7 linked regions of the Rattus norvegicus genome follow. The protein of the gene in region 1 interacts with the protein of each later gene in a biochemical or structural test. Links are inferred from orthologs where the notes say so. Each region holds a gene or a part of one and is shown in the gene's direction. Other genes may lie near its edges. The genes, in order: Ubc, Rig1, Hip1, Usp10, Ergic2, Trafd1 and Psmc5.

Region 1 (4,213 bases):
GAGACCCTGTCTCAAAAAAAAATCTCAAAAAAGAAAAAGGTTGAGATTAAAGGCATTTAATAGTGTGTGTGTCTGTGTGTGTGCATGCTACATGTATGTGAGTGCCCCTAGGGACATTGGACCTCCTTGAAGCCTTGAGAAGCTTTGGAGTCAAAGGCCTTTGTAAGCTAGCTGCCTGACAGGGTTGCTCAGTATTGAACTCTGGAAGAAGACCTGCTCTTACTGCTGAGCCATCTCTCTACCCTAGGGATTCAATTCTTACCTTCTAAGGTCTCAGGCCTTACATTTCAAAAACCTGAATAGGCTGAATTTTACAAGTGGGGTATATGTTTGCTGTAATCTGAACATTGTACTAAACGTGTACTTTTTGTGTGTGTGTGTGGGTTTTTGTTTGGTTTTGGTTTTTTTCAAGACGAGGTTTCACTGTGTAGCCCTGTAGACCAGCACTTAGAGGCAGAGGCAGAAGGATCTCTGTAAACTTGAGACCAGCCCGGTCTACGAAGCCTATTCCAGGACAGCCAGGGCTATACAGAGAAACCCTGTCTGAACAACAAAAATTAAAAAAATAGGATTTCGATGGGTTCAGTCTCAGAATATGAACAACATTTTGATATTTTGACCTTTCCTTAGTGACAATCGAACAGAAAACAGAACCTTCTCGAATCCAAGGACACCAGACATAAACAGACTTAGGAAGAATCTGGAAAGATCTAGTGCCCACTGGGCTTCAGATCTAATGCCAACAGTTTTCAAGAACTGTGAGGACTGACTGCTTTTCTTGACGAATTCAGATTCGTTTTCCCAAACTGGGGAGAGATCCCCCCCCCCCCCATTTTTTTTATAAAAAATAAAAAAAACCGTTGTCATTTCCCTTGTTATGAGATTTGCACAGTCATCCATCCTGTCACCGTGCCAAAACAAAGAGGGCTGGGCACAGTGACGACCGACTCGAGGTGAGGGAACTTAGGAGCCGAGGCCACCAATGGAATATCAGTGTAACAAGAGCCAAAGCCCTAGGTCCCCCTAACAGAAAGAGGCGACTGGGACCCTTGACGGAGGGGGTGGGGGGTAGTTGGTGGGTCTCCGGCTCGCTTAGCCACAGTGCGCCTGCGCCGAGGTCCGCTCCGGCTGCAGTGATCCCTGCCGGGTTTTAGCGCCGATCACGTCACAGGCGCTGATCCCTCCGCGGGGTCGCGCAAGGTCGCAGTCCTGCCCCTCCACACAAAGCCCCTCACTCTCTGGCCTTCGCAGTGGAACAACCCCATGAAGCGATCTTAATGGTTTTAGCCTGTCGCTTCCATTGCAGAGATTGGACCGGGCATTAAAAAGTAGTCCCCAACCGCATTTCCGCGGAGGAATCCAGGGGTGGGCGGGGCTCCCGATGACTATATAAAGAGACGCCTCGCGTCCCGCAGCTAGTTCCGTGGAGACCGCCAGTTCCGTCTCTACTCTTTTGTGAGGACTGCAGCCAACACCGCTGGTGAGGAGAAAGCCGCCACACCCGGCGGGGGCGGGGAGGCGGGAGGGGGCGAGAGACAGCCCGCGGCCCGGACGTTTGGTTTCCGTGGCCCGCGAGGACGGCTGCTGTCCTGAGGCCGAGGACCGGGCGGCAAGATGGCGGCCAAATGGAAGCCTGAGGGGGAAGACGCGCGGTCCTGACGCGCTGGACCAGGTTGGGGGAAGCAGGCCCGCGAGGCCGCTTGCCGCCGGTTAAGCCGGGAACGTCAGAGGCTTGGGTTGGGAACTGAATTCGGTTGGCGCGCTGTAGGAGCCTCTGATGTGAGAACTGTGGGTATTAGACGGGAGGGAGATGTCGGTTATCCGGAATTCGTCGGTTGCTAAATACAGGAGTGCGATTGGGAAGGGAGGGGGAGGGTGGCGGTCCAGCCTAGCCTATCGCCCCTGTGACGTCGCGGTTTGTGTGGTCTCACAGTGTATAGTGACGATGGCTTTAGCTTTCCCTCAGTTGTAGGACCGGGTTTGGGTCTCGGCCTCGGGTAGCCTCTCCAGAGTAAACAGGAACCGGAAATTCAGAGGGGGAACGTGAGCCTGACTTACATTGAGTCTTTCCTTGTCTCGCTACACGGATATGGCTGCGGAAACTATTTATTAGACAAGGGTGTTTTTTTTTTTAAGATTTATTTCTTCAGGGGTTGGGGATTTAGCTCAGTGGTAGAGCGCTTGCCTAGGAAGCGCAAGGCCCTGGGTTCGGTCCCCAGCTCCGGAAAAAAAGAACCAAAAAAAAAAAAGATTTATTTCTTCAGACACACCAGAAGAGGTGTGATCAGATCTCATTACAAATGGTTGTTAGCCACCATATGGTTGCCGGGAATTGAACTCGGGACCTCTGGAAGAGCAGTCAGTGCTATTAATCACTGAGTCATCTTACCAGCCTGACAAGGGTTTTAAACTTTAAAAAAATCTCTGCCTCTACCACCCATGTGATGAGGTCCAAGGCCAGTGCCACTTACCCCAGACTACTTTTTTTTTTAATAGAGTTTATTCAGGGCATGGGAAGGGGAGTTGAGGAGGGAGTAAAGCTGGTCGGAACATGTGGAGAGAGAGCAGGGAGGAGAATGGGGAGAGAAGGGACAGATGGGGTGAAAGTAAGAGGTTAAGAGGATAAGAGTAAGAGTAAACTACTGTTTAATTGTTCAGACAAAAGCTTGGGGGAAGGAGAGTTGAGGCAGGATCTCACTGTCTCAGGCTGACCTCCCAATTCACGAAATCTGCCCACCTCAGTGTCCCCAGTGCTGGGAGGAAAGATATGAACATAGTTCAGTTTTGTAGTAGTAACTGGCTCTATCTACCAGTCGGGACCTGAATCCGGGATTTCCAACTATTGCCTTCTAAGCTCTTGAGTTTCTGACTTCTTTGGAGTGGGTCCTCCTAAACCCCCCTCCCCCAAGGTGAAATGTGGGTCAGGCTTTTCTCCAAACTGCAAATAGTCAGGGACTGACTTTCAGCAGTTCCGTACTGAACGCTCCACCCTGCCAACTTGGTAATAGACAATGCCTAATATTCATAACTTTGTTCCATCAAGACTTTTATTTTCTTGTTGGTTTTAGGGGGTAAAATTCAAAACAGTCTGTGTAGCTATTTAGACTAAACTACTAGCCACCTCACAGATCCAACGGTTGGTGGCACTCTAAAGAATTTGTGTCATTCCTGACCTGTTTTTTGGTTTTTTGTTTTTTGTTTTTTTTTCCATAGACAATGCAGATCTTTGTGAAAACCTTAACTGGTAAGACCATCACCCTGGAGGTCGAGCCCAGTGACACCATTGAAAATGTCAAGGCAAAGATCCAGGACAAGGAGGGCATCCCCCCTGACCAGCAGAGGCTGATCTTTGCAGGCAAGCAGCTGGAAGATGGCCGCACCCTGTCAGACTACAACATCCAGAAGGAGTCCACCTTGCACCTGGTCCTTCGCCTCAGAGGGGGCATGCAGATCTTTGTGAAGACCCTGACAGGCAAGACCATCACCCTGGAGGTCGAGCCCAGTGACACCATTGAAAATGTCAAGGCAAAGATCCAGGACAAGGAGGGCATCCCCCCTGACCAGCAGAGGCTGATCTTTGCAGGCAAGCAGCTGGAAGATGGCCGCACCCTGTCAGACTACAACATCCAGAAGGAGTCCACCCTGCACCTGGTCCTTCGCCTCAGAGGGGGCATGCAGATCTTTGTGAAGACCCTGACAGGCAAGACCATCACCCTGGAGGTCGAGCCCAGTGACACCATTGAAAATGTCAAGGCAAAGATCCAGGACAAGGAGGGCATCCCCCCTGACCAGCAGAGGCTGATCTTTGCAGGCAAGCAGCTGGAAGATGGCCGCACCCTGTCAGATTACAACATCCAGAAGGAGTCCACCCTGCACCTGGTCCTTCGCCTCAGAGGGGGCATGCAGATCTTTGTGAAGACCCTGACAGGCAAGACCATCACCCTGGAGGTCGAGCCCAGTGACACCATTGAAAATGTCAAGGCAAAGATCCAGGACAAGGAGGGCATCCCCCCTGACCAGCAGAGGCTGATCTTTGCAGGCAAGCAGCTGGAAGATGGCCGCACCCTGTCAGACTACAACATCCAGAAGGAGTCCACCTTGCACCTGGTCCTTCGCCTCAGAGGGGGCATGCAGATCTTTGTGAAGACCCTGACAGGCAAGACCATCACCCTGGAGGTCGAGCCCAGTGACACCATTGAAAATGTCAAGGCAA
Region 2 (4,098 bases), on another chromosome or scaffold:
ACAACTCTTACAAAGAGTTAGATGGGAGGGACTCAAAGGCTCGAGTATGGAGAGATGAAGACTGTGCGGGCAGAAGGGAATACTGATTCCTCTGGTGAGATCCCTGCATGCATGGATCAGTGCACTGCACACCGGAAGCGAGGACAACTGTGTGTTCTGAAAGACAGCCTCGCTAAGTAGACCAGGGTGGCTTCAGCCTGTCTGTGATTCCTCTGTGTGTCCCTGCCTCCCCAGTTCAGGGCCTACAGGCGTGTGCCACCACTCTCCAAAGAAATAGGTTGTTTTTTTAAATTTTTGTTTATTTTTCAAATGCAGGCATAGAGAACGAAGGCTATGCTAGGTACAGTGTTATGCCCTTGATTGGTTCCAGGAACCTAAGGATTAGGCATAAAAATCTGTAATCGATTTCTTAGTTTTAACGAATGTTTAACCGTGTGTAAACTGGAACGGGGTTAGAGACATTCACAAATCTTCTGAGGCGACTTTACTGTCTGTCGAAGATTAGACCAGAGAAAACGTTAAGGCTGTGATTTCGAAGCGAACATGGTGTAGTGTCAACCTGCCAGCAAGTTAGTGGTAAAGTGGGAAAATAACCGGAAGATGAAATTATAAAGATGCTTTCCTTACGGCTGCGCACAACGTGAGCAACGGAGTCGTTGTCATGACCAGTGTGGGTCCATCTTTGTCAAAAGGGGGGGAAGGCTAAATATATGAAAGTGATAATTCTGCTAGTGAAATTCTCTCTTCCTATTTTGTTTTCTATATTTCCTTATTGAGACAGACAATGCTTTTATAATGAAAACAATACACCTCATTTGAAAAAGAATGTTAACACTTGCAGGTTAGCCTTCGACCTTTCCCCCTTAAAACTTTCTTTTTTTTTTTTTTTTTTTTTTTTGAGACAGGATCTCTCTCTATAGCACTGGGTATCTTGAAACTCACTCTGTAGAGATCCCCTTGTCTCTGCCTCCCAAGTGCTGGGACTTAAAGGCATGTACCATTACACACGGTCCCCTCAAAACTTTTAACTAAAGGTTGGCAAAACAACAACAACAACAACAACAACAACAAAAAAAAAACCCTCCAGAGACTAATCTTGCTGTCGGCATTCTTGCCACCAGCGGAGGGTGGCGGATGGCTGACTAGCTAGGGGATGGTTATATTACTTAGTATGAGGGACATCCTCTTTCCGAGTTGATTCTTTAGACGTTAAAGGTCCTTTCAGCTCCAATTTCAAAGGCTTCTTGTTCACAGTGGTCCCTTTAGACCACTTCCCGGGAGGACTGGACACTGGGTCTGCATTGGGGTCTGTGGCCAGTATGAGCCTCTTCTCACACATACCCTGTGACCCTTGGGTGGTCAACCCTGTGCTCTGGGTCTGGCCTTTCTGGCCTCTGTTGAACTTGCACTTTGTTTGTGATCTTCTGAGTTGGAAAGCTGGGCTTCCTCCTGTTTTAGGTGCAAGAGGCCCAGTAAATGGATCCTAATTGGCCCACAGGAGATTCTGGCCATAGTCTTTTCTTCCAACTGTAAAATTAGTGAGATCACATTCATTCTTCACCCTTAAGCGGCGTTTAAGGCATCTTCGGACTGTTGCTAAAACTATGTTTCCTCTCTTCCTCCTAGAAATCCCACTACACTGTGCTTGGAGATGCTTTTAAGGAGCGCTTTGTGTGTAAGCCACACCCTAAACCAAAGATCTATGATAGTTTTGAGAAGAAAGCAAAAATATTCTGTGCCAAACAGAACTGCAGCCATGACTGGGGGATTTTTGTGAGATACAAGACGTTTGAGATTCCAGTCATAAAAATCGAAAGCTTCGTTGTTGAAGATATTGAGAGTGGAGTTCAGAACCGGCACTCAAAGTGGAAGGACTTTCATTTTGAAAGAAAACAGTTCAATCCCGAAGAAATGTCCACATGATCTTGGGCTTCTCAGTCTCACGCTATAGGGAGCCATGCCTTAAGTGTGGAAGTGACCAGCCAATGCGTTCTTACCCAAGCTTGCACAATCCTTTCTTACACAACCTTGCACTGTGTTGAGTGCCAGGTAACCTGACCTGTTTGCTCTAAGCTGTTTCTGTCCACACAAAGTGCAAACTGAAGCTCCGAATGCTTTGTTCACCAATAACTCTTAGCACTCGGCGATGGTGGGGAGGGTTGAAAGTTTTCCCTTTTACATTTTTCAGAACTGCCCACCAGAGAATGCACAGCTACTCGGTACATCGAGACGCGTGATGACTGGCGCTAGGTTTCCCATACTCTCTCTTTGCTCTACCTGCCGTAAGCTGCCTTTCGCCCTTAACAATCCACTGACTTAGTTCTTTTCCAGGCCACCACACTCACAGATCCAGCCGTACTCTACTCTGTCCCTTGCGTTGACTCCTTTCTGAATTTGGCCCTGCCACCCTGCCACCCTCTGCAGATTCTCCTGGTTTCCGTCCCTTCCCAGTCTTTCCCACTGATTTCTTTGCTGACACAAATTTGGTGATTTCAAGGTTCAATATGCACAACATGTGTTTTAAAAAGACATACTTTTAAGATGTGAAAGACTTTAGTTAATAGCTTACTACGCTTACTGAGAAGGTATTTCTGTTCTGTTCATTTACTATACATCTTACTGTAATCTGTTCTTTGAATTTGGGCCATTTACCCTCCTTGAATAGACTCTTAGACCATCTCATCTGTTATGTCTGTCCTCCCACCTGTTTGAGACAGGATCTCTCTATAGACCAGAAACATGATATGTGGACCATGCTGGCCTTAAACTCACAGATTCCCCCCACCTCATAAGTGCTGAAATTAACATTTTTCACCAGGCCTGGCTCTGGCTATTTTCAATAAAGGCTGATATTAACAATTGAATATTTCCAGTTCATCCCCTAACATGGCTTGTTGTTGTTCTTTTTGAGACACTGTTCCTACGTGTAGCCCTGGGTCTGTAGACCAGGCTGCCCTTGATCACAGAGGGCTGTCAGCTCCTGCCTCCTGGGCGCTGAGACTGAAGGCCTGCATCACCATGCCTGGCTTTCTTCTTAAGCCTTATGTATTCAAACGGCAATTCCATGTGTCTTCACAGAGTTTGTTAATGCTTCAAAGAGCTTAGTTTCTTCAGATCAAGAGACAGGTGTCTGAAGGGCTGTTACTGCTAACAGACCAAGGCGCTCCAGTTCAGGGAAGGAATCGTACTGGTTTTGAAGGCCGTAAAGTGGTTTTAACACTTTCCTAAAACTTACAATTCACTAGGGCCATCAATGGCCTAAACAAAACTGCAGAGATTACATGGCCACATAGCCCTTTTTACATGGCATTTACATCTGAAGACTATCCCAAGACCACCCAGAGCAGAGGGGTCACCCAAACTACCCAGATCAACCCTGGAGGTCAACAGAATGACCACTTCCCACATATGCCTAGAGAAAATAACCGGCAACTAACTTTTTTGGGGAAAAAAACCTATAGGGATTAGGCTTTTAATTGATAGGTGGAAAAGATGATACATAGTAGTTCTTGATAATGGTTATTGATAAACTTCTTAGTAAGTGCAATAAAATGGACTAGATGAATTTGCTGGGAGCTGACTTTCATTTATGTCTTTTAGTACATGATGCCTTTGCAGCTTAACAGTTGTTTAGCATGTGTAAGGTATCTTCTAGAAATTACTTGAGAAAAAACTTTTAAACATTACAATGATTTAATTAAAATGTATATATTTTATGCATATGGGTTTTTGGTCTGCATGCACATATGCACACTAGAAGAGGGCATTGGGTTCCCTCTGACTATAGTTATAGATGGTTTTATGCTGCCATGTGGGTGCTAAGAATTGAACTTCCGACCTCTGCAAGAGCAGCCGCTGTTCTTACCGCTGAGCCTCCTCCCCGGCCCTGACAATGATAATTTAGTTGAAGTGAAATAGTCCTTTTTTCGTCAGTGGGGAAAAGCAGACTAAAGATGAGAACAAATGACAATTTGAGTTGTACATGGACTTAAGCCACTGCGCAGTGTGCCCTGGAATGGAGCAACCCTGGGTTAGTAAGAACTGAACGAGTAGAACGGTCGGTTTCGAGAGGTGGGCGAATGCTTGTCTTCGGACTTC
Region 3 (3,500 bases), about 10 Mb from region 1:
AAAAAAGAAAAGAAAAATTTAAATAAATAAGGTAAATTGCACCTGTGGAAAGACATCTGTGTTGGCCCTGCGGCTTCCACAGGCTCTCTCTCTCTCTCTCTCTCCCTCTCTCTCTCTCTCTCTCTCTCTCTCTCTCTCTCACACACACACACACACACATAGCTATTGCACATCCACAAATAAATACAAAAAGGAGTGAGTAGTTCTGGAAGTTTGAAGAGACCCAGGGTCTCCCAGGACAAGATGGGGGGCAGGTTAAGCAGGGGGCCCTCCGCCTGGCCAGGGACTTAGGCTTGGCCATGATGCTTTCTGCTCTCTGTAACTTCATCCTTCTTGTCTCATCTGGGTTCTCAGGGATGCTGCTGACCTTGTGGTCCAAGGCAAAGGGAAGTTCGAGGAGCTGATGGTGTGCTCGCATGAGATTGCCGCTAGCACAGCCCAGCTTGTGGCTGCATCCAAGGTAGGGCCAGCTGGTGCTGGACTTGAGCCGGGAAACTGAGCTGAGGGACAGGTGATATTCCACAGCTCTGCTTGGAGCTGTCCTGAGTAAAAAGTTCTCCCTCTCAGGGCTTTCACAGCACCCTCTTTTAAAAACCTAATGTGTGCCTATAGTGTATAGGCTGCTATAGTCTAAGTCCCTAGAAAAGGTTCTTGAGAAAAGGGACTGGTAAAGAAAAAAAAAGGAGAGTAGAATGGTGGTGGGGCACACATTTAATCCCTGTACTCAGAGATAGAGGCAGAAGACTCTGAGTTCAAGCCCAGCTTAATCCACAGACTGAGTTCCAGGGCAGCTAGGGCTACACAGAGAAACAGTTGAAAAGCCAACTAAACAAAACAGCCTGATATGTGCCAGCAGGGAGCCCCTCCCCCAGCTCATCACATGCATGGCTTGCTGCTCTCATCACTCTTGTCAGTAGATTTCGAGGGTCCCAGGCTTATCAGCTTCCAAGTACCATTCAGGTGGACCAGGTGACATGGACCAGTCATCCCAGCTACTTCGGAAGATGAGGCAGGAGAATTAAAAGTTAAAGGCTAGCCTGGGCTTGAAATGAATTTAAGGCCAATCTGAGCAATCTCACAAGACTTTGGCTCAGAATAAAAATTTTAAACAGGGGCCAGTGAGATGGCTCAGTCAGGAAAAGGGACTTGCTACCAAACCTGATGATCTGAGATTGATCACTGGGACCTACATGGAGAATGAAAGGACTCCAGTTGTTCTCTGACTTCCACATGCACAGCTGCACATAAGCACCACATAAATAATAAAAAGTAATTTAAAATAAAAAGTAATTTAAAAATGCCTGAGGGGACAGTTTAGTGTCAAAGTACTTGCCTTGGGTCTGCTGGTAAGAGGCAGTGGTAGAGCCCCTGCCTAGAATCCCCCAGTGAGGGGCTGGGGGCAAGGCTCAGTGGTAGAGCCCCTGCCTAGAATCCCCCAGTGAGGGGCTGGGGGTGTGGCTCAGTGGTAGAGCCCCTGCCTAGAATCCCCCAGTGAGGGGCTGGGGGCGTGGCTCAGTGGTAGAGCCCCTGCCTAGCAAGTACATGGCTTTGGGTCCCATTCCTGGTATCCAAAATTAAACCAGCATCTATTCACTAGGCATGGTGGTACATGTACTTAATCTCAACACTCAAGAAGAAGAGACAGGCAGATTTCTGTGAGTTCAAATACATCTAGGGCTGCGTGGTTAGACCCTGTTTCAAGAAAAAGGTATCTGGGGGCTGGAGAGATGGCTCAGCAGTTAAGAGCCCTGGTTGCTCTTCCAGAGGACCTGGGTTCAATTCCCAGCACCCACATGGCAGCTTACAACTGTCTTTAACTCCTGGTCTAGGGGATCCTGCACCTCACAAGGACATACATGCAGTCAAACCACCAATGTACATAAAAATAAAAGTAAATAAATATGTTTTATTCTTTTTTTTTTTTTTTTTTTCGGAGCTGGGGACCGAACCCAGGGCCTTGCGCTTCCTAGGTAAGCGCTCTACCACTGAGCTAAATCCCCAGCCCCAATAAATACGTTTTAAAAAGAAAAACAAGGGCTGGAGAGATGACTCAGCGGTTAAGAGCACTGACTGCTTTTCCAGAGGTCCTGAGTTCAATTCCCAGCAACCACATGGTGGCTCACAACCATCTGTAAAGAGATCCGATACCCTCTTCTGGTGTGTCTGAAGACAGCTACAGTGTGCTTATATATAATAAATAAATAAATCTTTAAAAAAAAAAAAGAAAGAAAAAGAAAAACAAAAGGGTATCTATTAGTCCGGCATGTTGGCCCACCCCTTTGATCTCAGCAGTCAGGACACAATGGTGTGTGAACCTCTGTGGGTTTGAGGTCAGTCTGGTCTATAAAGCAAGTTCCAGTCCTGCCAAAGCTGCTACATAGTGAGACCCTGTCCCAAAAAACAAAGTATCCGGTGATGGAACTGCTTAGCCATCTATCAGTCACCTGACTTAGCCCCTGGAATCCATATAACCAATGTCTGCTCCTCCTTTGTCTCTGAACTGAAGCACCAAAGCATTTAATGCTCCTGGGAAGACATTGGTGGGCTCTTTCACCATTGGACCAGAACTTCACCCAGGAATAGTCTTTATTCCTCCCTTATTACTTAGGATCCCAAGGCCTTTGTCTCACACATGGACGAGTTCATGCAGATAACTATGCACGCTAGAGCATAGGGTAACCCAACCTGTATTCCAGGGGTCCTTTTTACTCGAGGTAGGTCCCGGGCCGGTACCATGGGCAACACTGGATTTGAGAGCTGACAACAGATGGTGTTTGCTAAGCACCGTCGGGCCAGCCTTTTGGCCCCGTCTTGCTGCGCCTGATGTCTAGTGAACGTAAATGCCCTTTGTCCTGGCAGGTGAAAGCGAACAAGGGCAGCCTCAATCTGACCCAGCTGCAGCAGGCCTCTCGGGGAGTGAACCAGGCCACGGCCGCTGTGGTGGCCTCAACCATTTCCGGCAAATCTCAAATTGAGGAAACAGGTAGCCTTTCGCACTCTGCATCTCTGATCCATGATCTCAATTAGTTCTGTATTTTTAATTGTTTGTTTGTTGTTTGTTTGTTTTGTTTTTAATGTGTGGTGTGTGCGTGTAAGCATACATGACTTTACTAATGTGTACAGGTCTCTTCTACTTTGATTCTCTCTACACACACACACATACACGTGTGTGTGTGTGTGTGTGTGTGTGTGTGTGTGTGTGTGTGTGTGTGTGTTTGTTTGTTTAAGACAGAACCTCATGGGCTGGAGAGATGATGGCTCAAAGGTTTAGAGACCTGATTGTTCTTCCAGGGGATCTGAGTTCAATTCCCAGTACCCACATGGTGGCTCACAACGATCTGTAATGGGATCTGATGCCCTCTTCTGGTGTGTCTAAGGAGCAATGGTGTACTCATATACATAAAATAAATAATTCTTTAAAAAAAGAAAAAAAAAGATAGGACCTCACTATGTATCCCAGGCTGGCCTTGAACTGAGAGATCTGCTTGCCTCTGCCTTCT
Region 4 (3,500 bases), on another chromosome or scaffold:
TTTGTTTCTGAGGAAAGCTGACTCAGCAGATCCTCTTCTTTTCAGAGCACTCTGTTTCTAATGGGCCCGGAAGCCACTTGATAGAGGATGAGGAGCTGGAAGACACAGGCGAGGGCAGTGAGGACGAGTGGGAGCAAGTGGGTCCCAAGAACAAGACGTCTGTCACCCGGCAGGCGGATTTCGTTCAGACGCCTATCACTGGCATTTTCGGTGGACACATCAGGTTTGTGCTTTTCCATGTTCTCAAGGTGTGTGTGTGTGTGTGTGTGTGTGTGTGTGTGTGTGTGTGTGTGTGTGTGAGAGAGAGAGAGAGAGTGTGAGTGTCTGTATCCTTCCTCCTGCCATCTGCTTTGCCTGGCTTTCATTCGCTCTTCCTCAGGCCTGGCTCTCAGGGGCTGTGTGCCTCAGTGCCCCCAAGGGTGCTGGCCCATCACTTGAAGTCAGGAAGCCAAACTGACTTGATTGTTCTGGTAACAGAGACTCCTGTCCGACTGGAGGCATTGTATCACTGTACTTTTTATTAAGTGCATGTGTTAAAGTCTATAGAAGGATGTTATGCACACAGGTAGTGGAGTGTTGGCCATGGAAAACTGGTCAGCACAGAAACCCCGCTTCCATGGTGCCCCTCTCCCTGTCAGATGAAAGCAGCCGTGCTCTGCCCCTCCCCCCACCTCCGTATACCCGCGTACCCCGAGGGCTGATGCTTTGTGCCCTGTGTCCTGGACCTCCTGTTTTCTTCCCCCACATCACTGTGGTGACTTTGCTTTTAAATCTATAGCAGCGTGAGCACACATGGCTGTCCTGTGTCCAGCTCTGTTCATTTAGTATGATGTCTTCCAAGTCCATCCCTGTTCTGACGAATGTTAGGATCTCCTCTTCCAAGACTGAGTAATATTCCGTTACATATTCCCACCTAAGTGGCTTTATCCATGTGCTTTTTGATGGACACATAGACTGTTTATCTAGGAAATAACTGAATGGGTGAGACGGAATAGAGGCCAGAGCCTCATGAGCTAGAATGTGACAGGATCGGAGGGAGACACTGGCCCAGGAGGACATGTGACCTGGGGTCCTTCAGACAGCTTTCTGCTCGTTCATGACATCCTTCTGAAAGACTTTAGAGTTACTTCAGAAGCCCCGAGTTATCGTCTAAAGATGAGTCAGTGGGCTTCAATGGGTGCGATCTCCTGGATGCTGTATTGGAAACCAGTCTCTTCTCAGGCATCCAGTGCCAAATGAGTGAGTCCACTCAGTAGCAGACTGAGCTCCTTTCAGCAGAGTCTGCACTCCCTGCCTCAGAAGCTTCTCTTTGCTTCTGTGGCCCCCATGGGGAGGGCTGAGGACCCAGCTGAGCCACGCTGACATGGCACAGGCCCCCTTTTCCTCTGGTGTTCTTCATGGGGCTAATGGATCTGGTATGGTCTAGGAATCCCTGCCTACACGTCGCCACTGTGACTCATCTTGGCAGACACAGCCCCCCTGAGTCGAGCCACGGTGGAGGAATAAATAGGCAGGTCGGTGAGCAACAGAGGAACGAAGCTACCCTCTGCTGCTCTTGCCATCCAGCCCCGAGTTAGGAGTCAGGGCAGTGAGGGACAGCAGACTACAGGCTGCCACAGCACACTGCACTAAGGGGCAACATGGGCTGTTTCCCTAAGGGTGACAGCAGAGAAGAAGCCAGGCTGCCCTTCTCACCTCAGCCTCTGTGCTGGCCCTGGCTTCAGTAGCTTCCGTGAGGTTTTTCTGGTCAACTTCATGGTTTTTTCAAAGAACAAAAGCAGAGATAAGAAATTATTATTTTCATTTTATTCAGGGTCTCATGTATGCCAGACTGTCCTTACACTCAACGGTAGGTGTGGCCACAGCCAAGGATGATTTTGAGAATTTTAGTCATCCTTGCTCTCCCACCTCCCAAGTGCTGGGATTACAGGGGCATGCAGCCTACCCTAGCTTATGAGGTGCTGAGGTTAGAACCCAGCATCATGGGCACCAGCAAGCACGGTCCATCCCAGCAGCACCCTGGGCCTAGGCAAGGAGTTCTTTCCAGTTTTGTTTTGTTTATCTAAGGCAAGGTCTCTACTGCCCGTGTTGGCCTAAACTCATGGCAGTCCTCCTGCTTCAGCCTTCTGAGCACCCAGCTAATGAGGACTTCGGATGACCTGATGACTTGAACTGCATTTCAGACAGAATTAGAGTCTTCATTCTGACCAGGGACGGCCCCAAGTCACTGTCTTTCTGCAGTTTTTAGTTTCCCTAGAGAGACCCTTTTTTGGGGGGAGGGGGTGGTCCTTTTCTGATGAATGAAAGGTTTTGGAGTCAAGAGGGTCTTGATTTCTGCACTTACTTTTTTTTTTTTTTTTTTTTAAGATGGTTCCTCTGTGTAGCTCTGGTTGTCCTGGAACTCACTCTGTAGACAAGGCTGACCTTGAACTCAGAGATCTGTCCGCCTCTACTGCCCCAGGGCTGGGATCGGAGGAGTGCGCCACCCCACCCTGCTTTAATTTCATTGATGCTGTTCAACTTCCTTTTGGGAACCCTAGGAGTGTCAGTCATTGCCTGGCACTCTGGAGGAAGGCTGGGGCATTGGACTCTGAAAGGGTCTCGGCTGGGTGCCTATCTGTCCCTTTAAGTTGGAGTTTCCTCCCACAGCTCTGCTTTGCTCATAAACTAGGACTCAGGCTGCTTTGTTGAGTCTCAGAACGTTCCCTGGATGAGGTTAAGTGAGAGATGAGACATACTTATGGTTTTTATTCAGAACTGAGGAAAAGAAAGATGAATTAAAAAAAGTAAGAAAACAAGGTTGAGTGCCTTAGCTGCGAGGCTGCTCACCTCTCTTCCCGGATCGCTAACGTGGTTTTTATCCTTAGCTTGTTACCCTTCCTCCTCCTGATGTTTTTATAGCAGGAGAGCAGCCTTAAAAGTCCTGCTCCCCTGGGGATCCCCCCACGTCCCCATTTCACTAGAACAGGCTGTGACACTTAGTTAAACACTCCCCATCCCACTCTGCTTGAGTTTGTTAGCTGGTGCGTGCTGTGCTCTGCTGTGCAAGTGAAGAGTTTGGAAGTCGAAGCCCCTCAGCCAAGCCGGGAGAATGTGCAGATCAATTGCTAATCACAGGGTCTGGTAGTCAGCGGAGTTATTTTTAAATTCAGGGTGGTTTTGGCTGTTCTGTTGTCCCTGGTCCTGTGATACTGAGTAAACGTACTTGAGTATTGATTCCTTCTCTGTCAGTTAATCTTAAGGGAAAATGACAGACAGTGGCCTCTTACTCTTCTGTGTTTTCCGTTGCATTTTTAGGTCTGTGGTTTACCAGCAGAGTTCCAAAGAATCTGCCACGCTGCAGCCATTTTTCACACTGCAGTTGGACATCCAGTCCGACAAGATTCGCACAGTCCAGGATGCCTTGGAAAGCTTGGTGGCAAGAGAGTCTGTCCAGGGCTACACCACCAAGACCAAGCAGGAGGTATGCTCCCGCACAGCTGACCAGGAGCCTTCTAGAT
Region 5 (3,500 bases), on another chromosome or scaffold:
AGTAAACAGAAGCATCATGCAGAGACCCCCTTTTGTGAAACAGTGTGGTCATGGATACAAGAGTAATGCCAGGAAAGCTGGGTTTGAAGATGGACATAGATATAGTGTTAGTTTTACTAAGTAAGTATATCTAAAGCAGTGTTCTCTACTGTATACACATAGGTGGTTTGCCTGGGTAGTGCATACACACACACCACACGTGGGCATGGTGCCTTTGGAGATATCAGATGATGGTGGGATGAGAAAAATAAGATGATTGCTGATTGATCCAGGTGCAGAGGCCATAGGGAGCTGTAGATGCATCTCAGTGCAGAGAGGCTGGCAACAAGTCCTGGAGACAGGAGCACTGGGATTTGGATCAGACTTTGCCAGACTGCTTGGGACTAAATCTCTGCTCTCCATAGGACCACTTGCACCTTCCTGGGAAAAATGTTTGATTGTTCATTTATAAGAAGGAATAAAAGTGTTGTCATTGAAGAATCAAGCTCCTATGTAAAGGACATTGAGTTTTACTGAGTTAGCTGTCGATTGTTTAGGGGAGGCAGGCGCTAAAGAGAAGAGGTAGGGAGAGAAACATGACCTGACTTTCTTACCTTGAGAGTCTTAGGAATGAAGTATTGAATGGGAATTACAACATGAGGATTTCATAAAAAGCAGGTTAATTTTAATTTTTAATCAGTTGGGTAGCATGTTCATGTCATAACAGTGGCTTTATACTGTGACAAGTGTTAGAGGTTGAATGGCTTTCTTGGAAGAAGTTGTAAGTTGTGAGGTTGCTGGGATGGGATAGAAGCTGTAGAGTGACAGCCTGTTTCCTTCTAAAATGACAGTCCCGGAAAAGAATCATGGCAGAAGCTTGAGACAGAGTAGTAGCCAGATGAGGGAGGAAATGCGTGATTGTGTGTGTTTGGGAGGTTGGTGAAACTTAACAGATGCTTGCCATACTTTCATATGTATGTTAAAAGGAACTACTAATTAAGTGTATTATGAAAATACACTTAAGTTTTGGAAGTAGAATCCCCTATTCATCTTTTCAGTAGTTATAATACAGCCATTGTTTAAAAGCTGGTGATTCTATATTGAACAGTGAGAAATTCTTCCTATGGATAGTGTTTTTAAGTATTCATTTACCCAGATTTGACACTATTTAGATTTGCAGTCTGTGCTACTTTGTGTGTTTTTCTTCCTTCCCTTAATACTTACAGGCACTGGCACTGCAAAGGTGAAGTTAGACATGAAGCTTTCTTTGACTGTCCTGTGGAGAAAATGGAATGTGCAGTCCCTGGGTAGAAACCGTTCTAGTCATATGAGGCACAGAAGAGTAAATGGGATCAGTCCTTAGGAAAGCTGAGGGAGAGGACAAGGACTAATTCTGGCAGAGAGGAAAGAATGAACATTGATAGGTTTTCAGTGTTGCTGGAACTTAGACTGCAAGATATTTGATTTGATGGCCTTGGTTTGTGAAGGATTCTGTAAGCCATGTTAGGATGGTCAAGGGAAAATAGACAGGAAAGTAGAAGGCCGGTGTTGAGTATTTCAGTGGTGGACCACTAGGAAAGAAAAATATATAGTAGAAGGCAAGGCGGTAGTTTTCTGAAGGATTGGAACTGAAATGAAGATTCGAAGGAATCCAAAATATGAATGAAAAATGAGGGAATCCCTTGGAAAAATGAGCATCAAGTCTGATTTCAAAAGCCTGGGTTTTGAAGTGGTTTGGCTTGTCAGCTTTTGGTTTTGAGATTGGGGTGCTCACTGAGTTTCAAGGAAAGAGGCTGCTTCATGAGAAAGGAGATCTCTCTCTCCCCTCCCTCCCTCCCTCCCACCCTTCTACCCCTCCGCCCCCACACACACGGGGTCAGGGTGAGAGTATGAATATAAATGTAAATATGTTCTAAATAAGGCTACAATATGAAGTGTTTCTTGGACTTAGTACCTCCAAAGATAACAGCCCCCAAAGCCAGTTTAGTCAGAACATGAGAGAGGAATAAAATTTAAACTCAATAGATAGAGACATCACATTCCTTTAAATTGTGAGCTAGGTGTGAGTTTGGGGCGCAGCAGTGCTTTTCTTTGAAACGCATGAATATTTTTAGTGGTGAATAAGAGCCTATGGTGATGGCTCAACCTGGTGCTTGCTGCACAAGCTTGAAGGCTGGAGTTGGGATCCGTAGTGCCCATGTTTAAAGCTCTGTGTGCTGGCATACCTGACAACCCTAACAGTGGGGAGATAGAGATAAGAGGATGCCTAGGGCTCGTTGGTTATCCAGGCCCCAGGCTGTAGGAATTGATCAGGTCCAGGTTCATAGGAGACCATGTCTCAAAACATAAAGTGGAGAGATTGAAGAGAATGCTTAGCATTGATGTCTGCCCTCCACATGCACATATGCAGCTGTACACGCATGAGCAGATGCCCCCGTATACATAACACACATAAATCCCGTCATGTATAGCGAATAGAGACTGAATGATTGAAAGGTCAGTCAGGTTTCTGCTTAGATCTGTAAGTGACCTAGAGATGATCTTAGTGTGTGAGCAGAAGTGCTGGATTGTTAGCAGGTGTGCCATCTAAGGAGAAGTCTGGAGTGCCATGTGTGTCCCTACTGTCTGTGCAGTCGATTCCCTGTGGACACTGAGGGACACCTGTGTTGCTGATTTAGAATAAGTATCTGAGAACTCACCTCAGCTTGTTTCGCCTTGTAGCTCCTGCCCCGACACACGTATATACGTATAAATAAATATTTCAACCTAATTGTAATTCTTTAACTAAAATGGACAGTTTCCCACTTTAATGTGCGTTTTCATATTGCCTTTCATTAATTTTGTCAGTAGGAATGGAGAAAAGAGTAAAATGTGCATTGCTAATTTCTGAGAAAATTGGCTATATATTTATCTGTTTTTTAGCATGACTATATGAAGGAAAAGGAAGGTTTTTCTGAAGATGAGGCGACTGAATCGGAGAAAAACCTTAAGTTTGGTGAAAGAGTTAGATGCCTTTCCCAAGGTTCCTGACAGCTATGTGGAGACATCAGCCAGTGGGGGAACAGGTGAGCTCAGTTCCGACTCTGATTCACTGATCACCAGCATGTGGGCACTGGCCAGGAGGAAGACCTCACCACTGGGTCTTTGTAACTGCTCGTCCTGTGCCCATTTGCTGCCCTCTGTGATCTGTGTTAACTCTAGCATCTGGCAGTGCCCGTGCCTCCAGCAGGGCTTATTAAAGTGTCAGTGAGCAGAGCAGTGCAGAGTGGCTTCCGTGCCATCCTGTTGTGCATTGTTCTCCATAAAAATTCTTATGTGTAAGTGAATTTGAAACTGGAGGGAGTTAGGAAAGGCTGCTGACACATCCTGTTCTGTTCTAGGTTGAGCAATGGTAAATGTTTGCTGTGTGAAAGTCTTTTTGAGTTTCATAGGACCCAGAGTGGAGTGAGAGCTAGTTAAGTTCTGTCTGCCATAGTTCTTCCATGAAAGAGGTGATTGGCATTTATATTGCTAGGTTTAAT
Region 6 (2,209 bases), about 3.9 Mb from region 1:
CAGAGGATTTTCTTTTCGTGTGAAACCTCTACTTGTATCAGTTTTGGAATTTATACTGTGTCCTTGGCATCCAGCACCCACCCCTGCCCCAGTCAGACTTGTGTGTCAGGCACTCTGGGGGAAGGGCTGACCGGCACTTGTTTGTTTGGGGCTCCAGGTGCTGCTGACGAGACTCTCCTGCCCTGTGAGTTCTGTGAGGAGCTGTACCCGGAGGAACTGCTCATTGACCATCAGGTAGGTGTGTGTTACTCTTCAGGACCGTGAGCAGGCTCTGGGCGGTGTGACAAGCTGCAAGAGGCCTTAGCGAGTGCAGCGCTGGTGGTGCGGTGTAACCGCTTTTCCTTTATGCTGTAGTACTCAGGCTCAAGTGACCTTTCTACCTCCGTGTCCCAAGCAACTGGGATTGTGGGCACACAGCACAGCACTGTGTCTCGTTTTCAGGGAGCCATGGACCTCTTTCCACTTGACTAAGTGATGAGGCCTCGCTCAGCACAGCTCAGGTGCTATGTAGTCTGTGCTTTGGGTGACAGGTCACACCCTGCTTTGGGTTGAATACTTTAAATGGTCCTTTAGTAAGGATAAAAGACTGTTTGGCCTTTGTTTATGGTTTGGGCCCCGTGTGTGGTGATGGCACGGGTGCAGTAGGGAGCAGTAGAGTGGAGATGAACTCTGTTCTTTCCAGCTCTGCAGCACTCAGGGGGTGAAGTAGTTTCTTGGTGAAAATGTTTATTGATAGAATTTTTTCTTAACCTTTTTTTTTATTTTTTTAACATTATCTTTTGAATGACAGACAAGCTGCAACCCTTCACATGCCTTACGTTCACTCAATACTGGCAGCTCTTCCATTAGGGGGGTGGAAGATCCTGGTGCCATCTTCCAGAACTTTCTACAACAAGCAACAAGTAACCAGTTAGACACTTTAATGGGCCTGAGCAGTTCAGCTGCTGTGGAAGACAGCATTATCATCCCCTGTGAGTTCTGTGGGGTGCAGCTGGAAGAGGAGGTGCTGTTCCACCATCAGGTGAGAGCCTGCTGAGCTCACGGTATCGAGTATGCTCGAGCAGGGGCTGAGGGAGCGTCTCCCCGAGTATGGAGGCTTCCTGATTTTGACTGGCAGGCTCTGCTGGGCTATGTGAGTGCTGTGTTCCTTAACACGGGCTCCAGCTCTGGCTTTGCCATGTGGTGATGCCCTGAGGCTCCTGGAAGGAAGGGTGCTACACTGCACACTCTAAAGGCCTTTCCCAGTCTTCCCAGTCTGGACTCCTGTGTTGTTAGTGGGGAAAGTGCTCCCCACCCACAGTGGTCAGCTGTGTGAGGAGCCGGCAGGGCAGGCGCAGCCTTGCATGGCTCTCGGTAGCTCCTCCCACCTCAAGGACAAACTGCTGCTTGTCACCTAAGCCACCACACAAACACTGCAGACAGAGCATGCTCTTCTGACCACAGGAGAGTCTCAGGAGTCCATGATGGCTGTCCATTCTATTCCCAGAACTTGGCTTCCTCTGATTTCCAGGAGTTGTAGTGGCTGTCAGTGTCTCCCAGCCTGCTGATGCTCTTCCCTTCCCAGCATCCAGAGTACTCAGTGTTTTCTTTTCTTTTTTAAAGGATCAATGTGACCAGCGCCCAGCCACAGCAAACCACCGAGCAATGGAGGGCATCCCTACACAGGATTCTCAGCCTGAAGACCGTTCACCAGAGCTGTCCAGGAGGCGGGTCAAACACCAGGGTATCAGCTGGGGCTGAGCGAAGCTGCAGCCACTGCTGGCTCAGGCCTGCTTCCCATTCCTGCTCTCCCGGAGGCTTGCCTAGGCCTCTAGTTCCCATGCATGAGGGTCTCTTGGGAGCTCTGCTGAGGCTAAGTGGTCCCCACATTACCCCAGGCTGACCCAAGTGCAGATCTTATAGGCTCATGGCTTCCAAGACAGCTGTGAATCACAGTGCTGTGGTAAGCTGTGGTTCCTGACTGCTTTATTTAGTCATCTAGCTGGGTGCGTGTTTCTGAAACTTCCCACCACAAAGTCAACTGCAAACAGCTTTTCATAGTTGGCTGACATCTGTTTGCTGAACAGTTAGGAACCTGTCCTTGAGGATCAGGACATCAGCATGTGGAGTGGGCTCTCTGCCACAACAGTCTGCTAGTAACAGCTAGGGTAGCCTTCCCCCTAAAGCCATTGCCGCCTTCTCTTCCCAGGAGACCTGTCGTCTGGCTACA
Region 7 (4,102 bases), on another chromosome or scaffold:
ATACCTTTCATCCCTTGGCAATGTGATTTCCCAGCCTCTTAAGGGGCACTTGTTAAGTGTCTTGGCCAAATTGTCTATGCACACATTCAAGAAGCAAGCTGCTGGGCGTAGCAACACAGGGCTGCATTACCAGCTATCAAGGCCAAACGTTCAAGGCCAGCCTGGGCAATTTCTGAGAGTCCCTGTCTCAATGAAAAGAAAGCAGATTGGAGATATAACTCGGTGGTGGAGCGACTGCCTAGCATGAGTAAGTCCTTAGGTTCAGTCCCACGAGAGGGGAAAAAAGAATGACACTGACTTCCAAAATTTAGGAGAGACACATGCTATGGAATATTTAATCTGAATTGTATAATCGGATTTCCATCCTCCCCCAAAGCAACTCAAAGCCAGCCAGTGCAAGGGACGTATCATCACAAGCAGTCCCTGCCAACCAAATATTACCATCCTCCAGGTGCAGCACACAGGTCCAGCAAGGCCCGGGCTTTCTGAAGGAACTGAAAGCGGCGATTGAGCTGGATCAGTTTGAAGGCAGAACGCGAACGATAACCTAGACCGTAGGGAGTGGATGTATAAAACAATAACGTCTACGGATGCCTTTTCTAAGAGGACTTCCACAGCCTCACAACCCCATCACCCTCCCCCTAAGGAAAAGGAACACAATATTAGAAAAAGCGTAAAGGCTGATATGTTATTCACGCAGCGCAAACCCACTCACCGGTCTCCTTGGCCAAGTGATAGAACTTGTCCCGCCGGCTCTTGCCTACTTTGCCTTTCTTGCCCATGGCGGGATGGGGTAGTATCACTCACTCTGGGGAGAAAGAAAAAGTTGAGAATATCTTTCAGAGCGCTGGATTTTTGCTTCGGTTCCTCGGGTGGCGAAGCAATCACTTACCGAGACGTTAGATAGCCCTTAACTCCGCAGGTTTTCAACACTTAGGGAAGTAGCACATGTGGGTAGTGATCGTACTTCCGCTTCCGCTCGCGCTCCCTGTGTTCCTAGCGTCTTGATTTACGCCATTTTGAGTGTGGCCAAAAATTTTGTCAGCGTGTCTTGCAAGTTAAAAGTAGAGGCTAGGAAGTAGAGTACAATAACTACTCCCTAGACTCTAGGAAGCATCCGCCATAAGTTATATATCTCTTTACAAACCTACTAACCGCCAGTAGAGCCTGTAATAAAGCCACTGTTATTGTCTCACCACACACCCCGCCCATTGACCCGGAACTGTTCTCGGTCGTGACCCAGGTCGCACGCTTTCGGCTCCGCGCCTGCGCAATAGGGTGACTTGGATGCCGGCGGTCCCTGCCGAAGGAGGGAAGATGGCGCTTGATGGGCCAGAGCAGGTAAGGATTCTGCCGCGGCGTCAGGGCGGCATCCAAGCCGAGTGTGGAGTGCACAAAATCTGAACTGAGGGGTGGCCACTAGCAAAAGGGTCGAGTGGATCAGGGGTGGGTGGACCACGTCAGACTTGACCCTGCCTGGAACTGGATCTGCTGTGTCAGCGCCACCCGCGGTAAGCAGGACAGGGCTGGGTAAAAACTGAATGAAGAGCTAGGCAAGCCGGAATGGCCTGGGTGGGACCTGGACTTGGTCCTTCTGTTCTGCCTTTGTCTGTAGTAGTTACACCTTGGGTTTGTATAGCTCTTGCCACAGAGCAAAGCGCTCTGTAAGTATATGGCCCCTTGAGCCTCCTAAAAGTCTTCGAAGGTAGGCGGTAATTGCATCCTTTTAGTGGATTCAAAAGTGAAGGATTAGAACCAATAACTAAGCCTTTGCAGTTCAAACACACAGACCTCACCTATGGAGATAACCAGTTTCTGAGGAAAAGGGAATGATACTTTCCTGGCCTTGTTTCTTAAGCTATATGGTAAAGTGCCCTGAAAATACTTTGGCTTTATCCCTTAGTAGTTTACGTAACTGTTTAACAATTACACTTGTCTTCAGATGGAACTGGAAGAGGGGAAGGCAGGCAGTGGACTCCGTCAATATTATCTGTCCAAGATTGAAGAACTCCAGGTAAGTCCAGACACCAGAGGGAGCTTGAGAGCTAGCTGGTAGGTGCAGATTTCTCAACGTCCTTTTTCCACTGGGAGTGCAGCAAAGTGTTCTTTTCCAGTGTCGTTCTTGTAGCTCTTCAGTTGTTAATTTATTATGCATATGTGTATATGTGTGCTTTCGTAAGCTTATATGCATCATATGTATGCAGGTGCCTGCGCAGGGCAGAAGAGGGCAGTGGATCCCCTGAAACTTGAGTTACAGATAGTTATCTTTCCCAGGCACTTAGAGTGACAACTAAACCCAGGCCCTCTGCAAAAGCAGTAAACCCTGTTAACTGGTGAGCCGCCTCTCCAGCCCCTCCTCTGTGGTTAGGAAGTAACAAGCAGTGTAACGTATATTGGTAATCTCTTGGATGGGAATGGTATTTAGTTAGGATTTCTGTTTGCTCGCTCGCTCGCTTTTTCAGGCTTTTCATTTTATGTTGTGTTTGGGTGTTTTGCTTGCATCTATGTCTGTGCCAGAAGATGGTGTAGGAGCCCTGGAAACGGAGTCACGGAAGGTTGTGAGCTGCCGTGTGGGTGCTGGGAATCCAGCCCAGGTTCTCCCGGAGCAGCTGGGACTCTCAACCACTTTTAACCATGCTTTAATGCTTCTGCTTTGGTCTTTAGTGCTTCACCTTTCTCGGGTCTGAAATAAGGCGGAAGGATGGATGTTGTTGTCTGTCTTTTATTGTCTTGCCTTTGTCTTACTTTTGTTTATTTAATAGATTCTCATTGTGTAGCCCAGATGGGCTGGGATTCTCCAGCTCTCAGCCTCCTTAGGGTAGAAATTACAAGCCTGTGTCGTCGTGCCTACCTTTTAAAACTAACTGTTTTTTCTAATTTTATGTTTTGAAATCCTTATCACCACCACCCCTTCTATGGGTGTTCCTAAATACACAGACACGACCTGTTCAGTCTGTATAATGTTACCTGCATGTATGTGCTCACTGGGTACTGCATAACCACCCCTTCTATGGGTGTTCCTAAATACACAGACATGACCTGTTCAGTCTGTATAATGTTACCTGCATGTATGTGCTCACTGGGTACTGCATAACCAAACGGGGCGCTTCTTCCTTGTCTTCCTCTCAGCTTTCCTCAGGAGCCATAATTCTTTGTCTGGGGTTGAGGCCCCATGAGTGAACTTCTCCCTTCCATGTTAGCGTGTCCATTGGTGTCACCAGTGTTCAGGACTTGTCTAATTTAAGAATCCATGTCGATGAGACTTCATGAGTGTAGCATTTCTGACTCTTTTTTTTTTTTTTAAGATTTACTTATTTTATATATGTGAGTACACTGTAGCTGTCTTCAGACACACCAGCAGAGGGCACCAGATCCCATTACAGATGGTTGTGAGCCACCATGTGGGTGCTGGGAATTGAACTCGGGACCTCTGGAAGAGCAGTCGGTGCTCTTAACCGCTGAGCCATCTCTTCAGCCCAATCTCTGACATTTCTAAGAAACAGTCTCCCAGCAAACCTTGTTTATCTGGCTCTTAGGATCTTTCTGCCCCCTCTTCCAAAATGACCTCTGAGCCCTGGGTTTAGGAGTTGCACTGTAGATGTCAGTTGGGACCAGCAATGCAGTCTCTTGACTTCTACGTTTTGGTCAGTTGTGGTTGTCTGTAATTGTCTCCATTTGTTGCCAAGAGAAGTTTCAAGAGAAGGGACTAGAACCGCATTTATCTGTAATAGACTGCAGTTACAGATTATGCAGACTTAGTAAAGTGGGCCTCCTTGTGCTTACCACAGGCTGTGTTCCTACACTGACTGTATGGAAACAGAGTAAACCTACCCTGTGTACTCCTCAGCCTAGGCCACCGTGCCTGGTCTGTATTGTGAATGGGGAAAAAAAGGTTTAGTAAAGTGATTGTAGGCTCTTCACAATCCATAACGTAACGAGCCCGGCATAGTTGACTATGTGTCTAGTACCGGGCTTTGTTTTCCTCCCTTTAAGCAGGCTGCAGTCCAGTTAGAGAACTGTTGGGTGCCACCATGGTAATTGTGGGTCATAAGCATCACAGCTGAGTAGAACTATCAGTTGGTTCCTCCTTGGAAGCTTGTGT

Evidence for each region.
Region 2: the proteins of Ubc (region 1) and Rig1 form a complex in vitro, tested with the Homo sapiens proteins (3 studies listed by BioGRID). The link is inferred for Rattus norvegicus from reciprocal best matches to the Homo sapiens genes UBC and RIGI.
Region 3: the proteins of Ubc (region 1) and Hip1 form a complex in vitro, tested with the Homo sapiens proteins (3 studies listed by BioGRID). The link is inferred for Rattus norvegicus from reciprocal best matches to the Homo sapiens genes UBC and HIP1.
Region 4: of the proteins of Ubc (region 1) and Usp10, one has a biochemical effect on the other in vitro, tested with the Homo sapiens proteins (4 studies listed by BioGRID, with this or other methods). The link is inferred for Rattus norvegicus from reciprocal best matches to the Homo sapiens genes UBC and USP10.
Region 5: the proteins of Ubc (region 1) and Ergic2 form a complex in vitro, tested with the Homo sapiens proteins (2 studies listed by BioGRID). The link is inferred for Rattus norvegicus from reciprocal best matches to the Homo sapiens genes UBC and ERGIC2.
Region 6: the proteins of Ubc (region 1) and Trafd1 form a complex in vitro, tested with the Homo sapiens proteins (2 studies listed by BioGRID). The link is inferred for Rattus norvegicus from reciprocal best matches to the Homo sapiens genes UBC and TRAFD1.
Region 7: the proteins of Ubc (region 1) and Psmc5 form a complex in vitro, tested with the Homo sapiens proteins (2 studies listed by BioGRID). The link is inferred for Rattus norvegicus from reciprocal best matches to the Homo sapiens genes UBC and PSMC5.

What each region holds. Positions count from the first base shown.
Region 1 is NC_086030.1:36,899,087-36,903,299, forward strand, and holds the start of Ubc (polyubiquitin-C), read left to right. Parts: upstream 1-1,413; 5' UTR 1,414-1,480; exon of another isoform or gene 1,481-2,043; intron 2,044-3,213; 5' UTR 3,214-3,216; coding exon 3,217-4,213.
Region 2 is NC_086023.1:60,116,898-60,120,995, reverse strand, and holds the end of Rig1 (antiviral innate immune response receptor RIG-I), read left to right. Parts: intron 1-1,626; coding exon 1,627-1,923; 3' UTR 1,924-3,598; downstream 3,599-4,098.
Region 3 is NC_086030.1:26,891,947-26,895,446, forward strand, and holds part of Hip1 (huntingtin-interacting protein 1), read left to right. Parts: intron 1-354; coding exon 355-460; intron 461-2,859; coding exon 2,860-2,983; intron 2,984-3,500. UniProt on the Homo sapiens protein: Plays a role in clathrin-mediated endocytosis and trafficking. Involved in regulating AMPA receptor trafficking in the central nervous system in an NMDA-dependent manner. Regulates presynaptic nerve terminal activity.
Region 4 is NC_086037.1:64,916,297-64,919,796, forward strand, and holds part of Usp10 (ubiquitin carboxyl-terminal hydrolase 10), read left to right. Parts: intron 1-45; coding exon 46-223; intron 224-3,297; coding exon 3,298-3,463; intron 3,464-3,500. UniProt on the Homo sapiens protein: Hydrolase that can remove conjugated ubiquitin from target proteins such as p53/TP53, RPS2/us5, RPS3/us3, RPS10/eS10, BECN1, SNX3 and CFTR.
Region 5 is NC_086022.1:182,847,991-182,851,490, reverse strand, and holds part of Ergic2 (endoplasmic reticulum-Golgi intermediate compartment protein 2), read left to right. Parts: intron 1-2,901; 5' UTR 2,902-2,938; coding exon 2,939-3,044; intron 3,045-3,500. UniProt on the Homo sapiens protein: Possible role in transport between endoplasmic reticulum and Golgi.
Region 6 is NC_086030.1:40,836,251-40,838,459, forward strand, and holds part of Trafd1 (TRAF-type zinc finger domain-containing protein 1), read left to right. Parts: intron 1-157; coding exon 158-234; intron 235-790; coding exon 791-1,021; intron 1,022-1,602; coding exon 1,603-1,723; intron 1,724-2,188; coding exon 2,189-2,209. UniProt on the Homo sapiens protein: Negative feedback regulator that controls excessive innate immune responses. Regulates both Toll-like receptor 4 (TLR4) and DDX58/RIG1-like helicases (RLH) pathways.
Region 7 is NC_086028.1:91,686,251-91,690,352, forward strand, and holds the start of Psmc5 (26S proteasome regulatory subunit 8), read left to right. Parts: upstream 1-1,302; 5' UTR 1,303-1,317; coding exon 1,318-1,341; intron 1,342-1,942; coding exon 1,943-2,014; intron 2,015-3,766; exon of another isoform or gene 3,767-3,892; intron 3,893-4,102. Other genes in the region: pre-rRNA 2'-O-ribose RNA methyltransferase FTSJ3, read right to left, coding at 442-547, 716-782.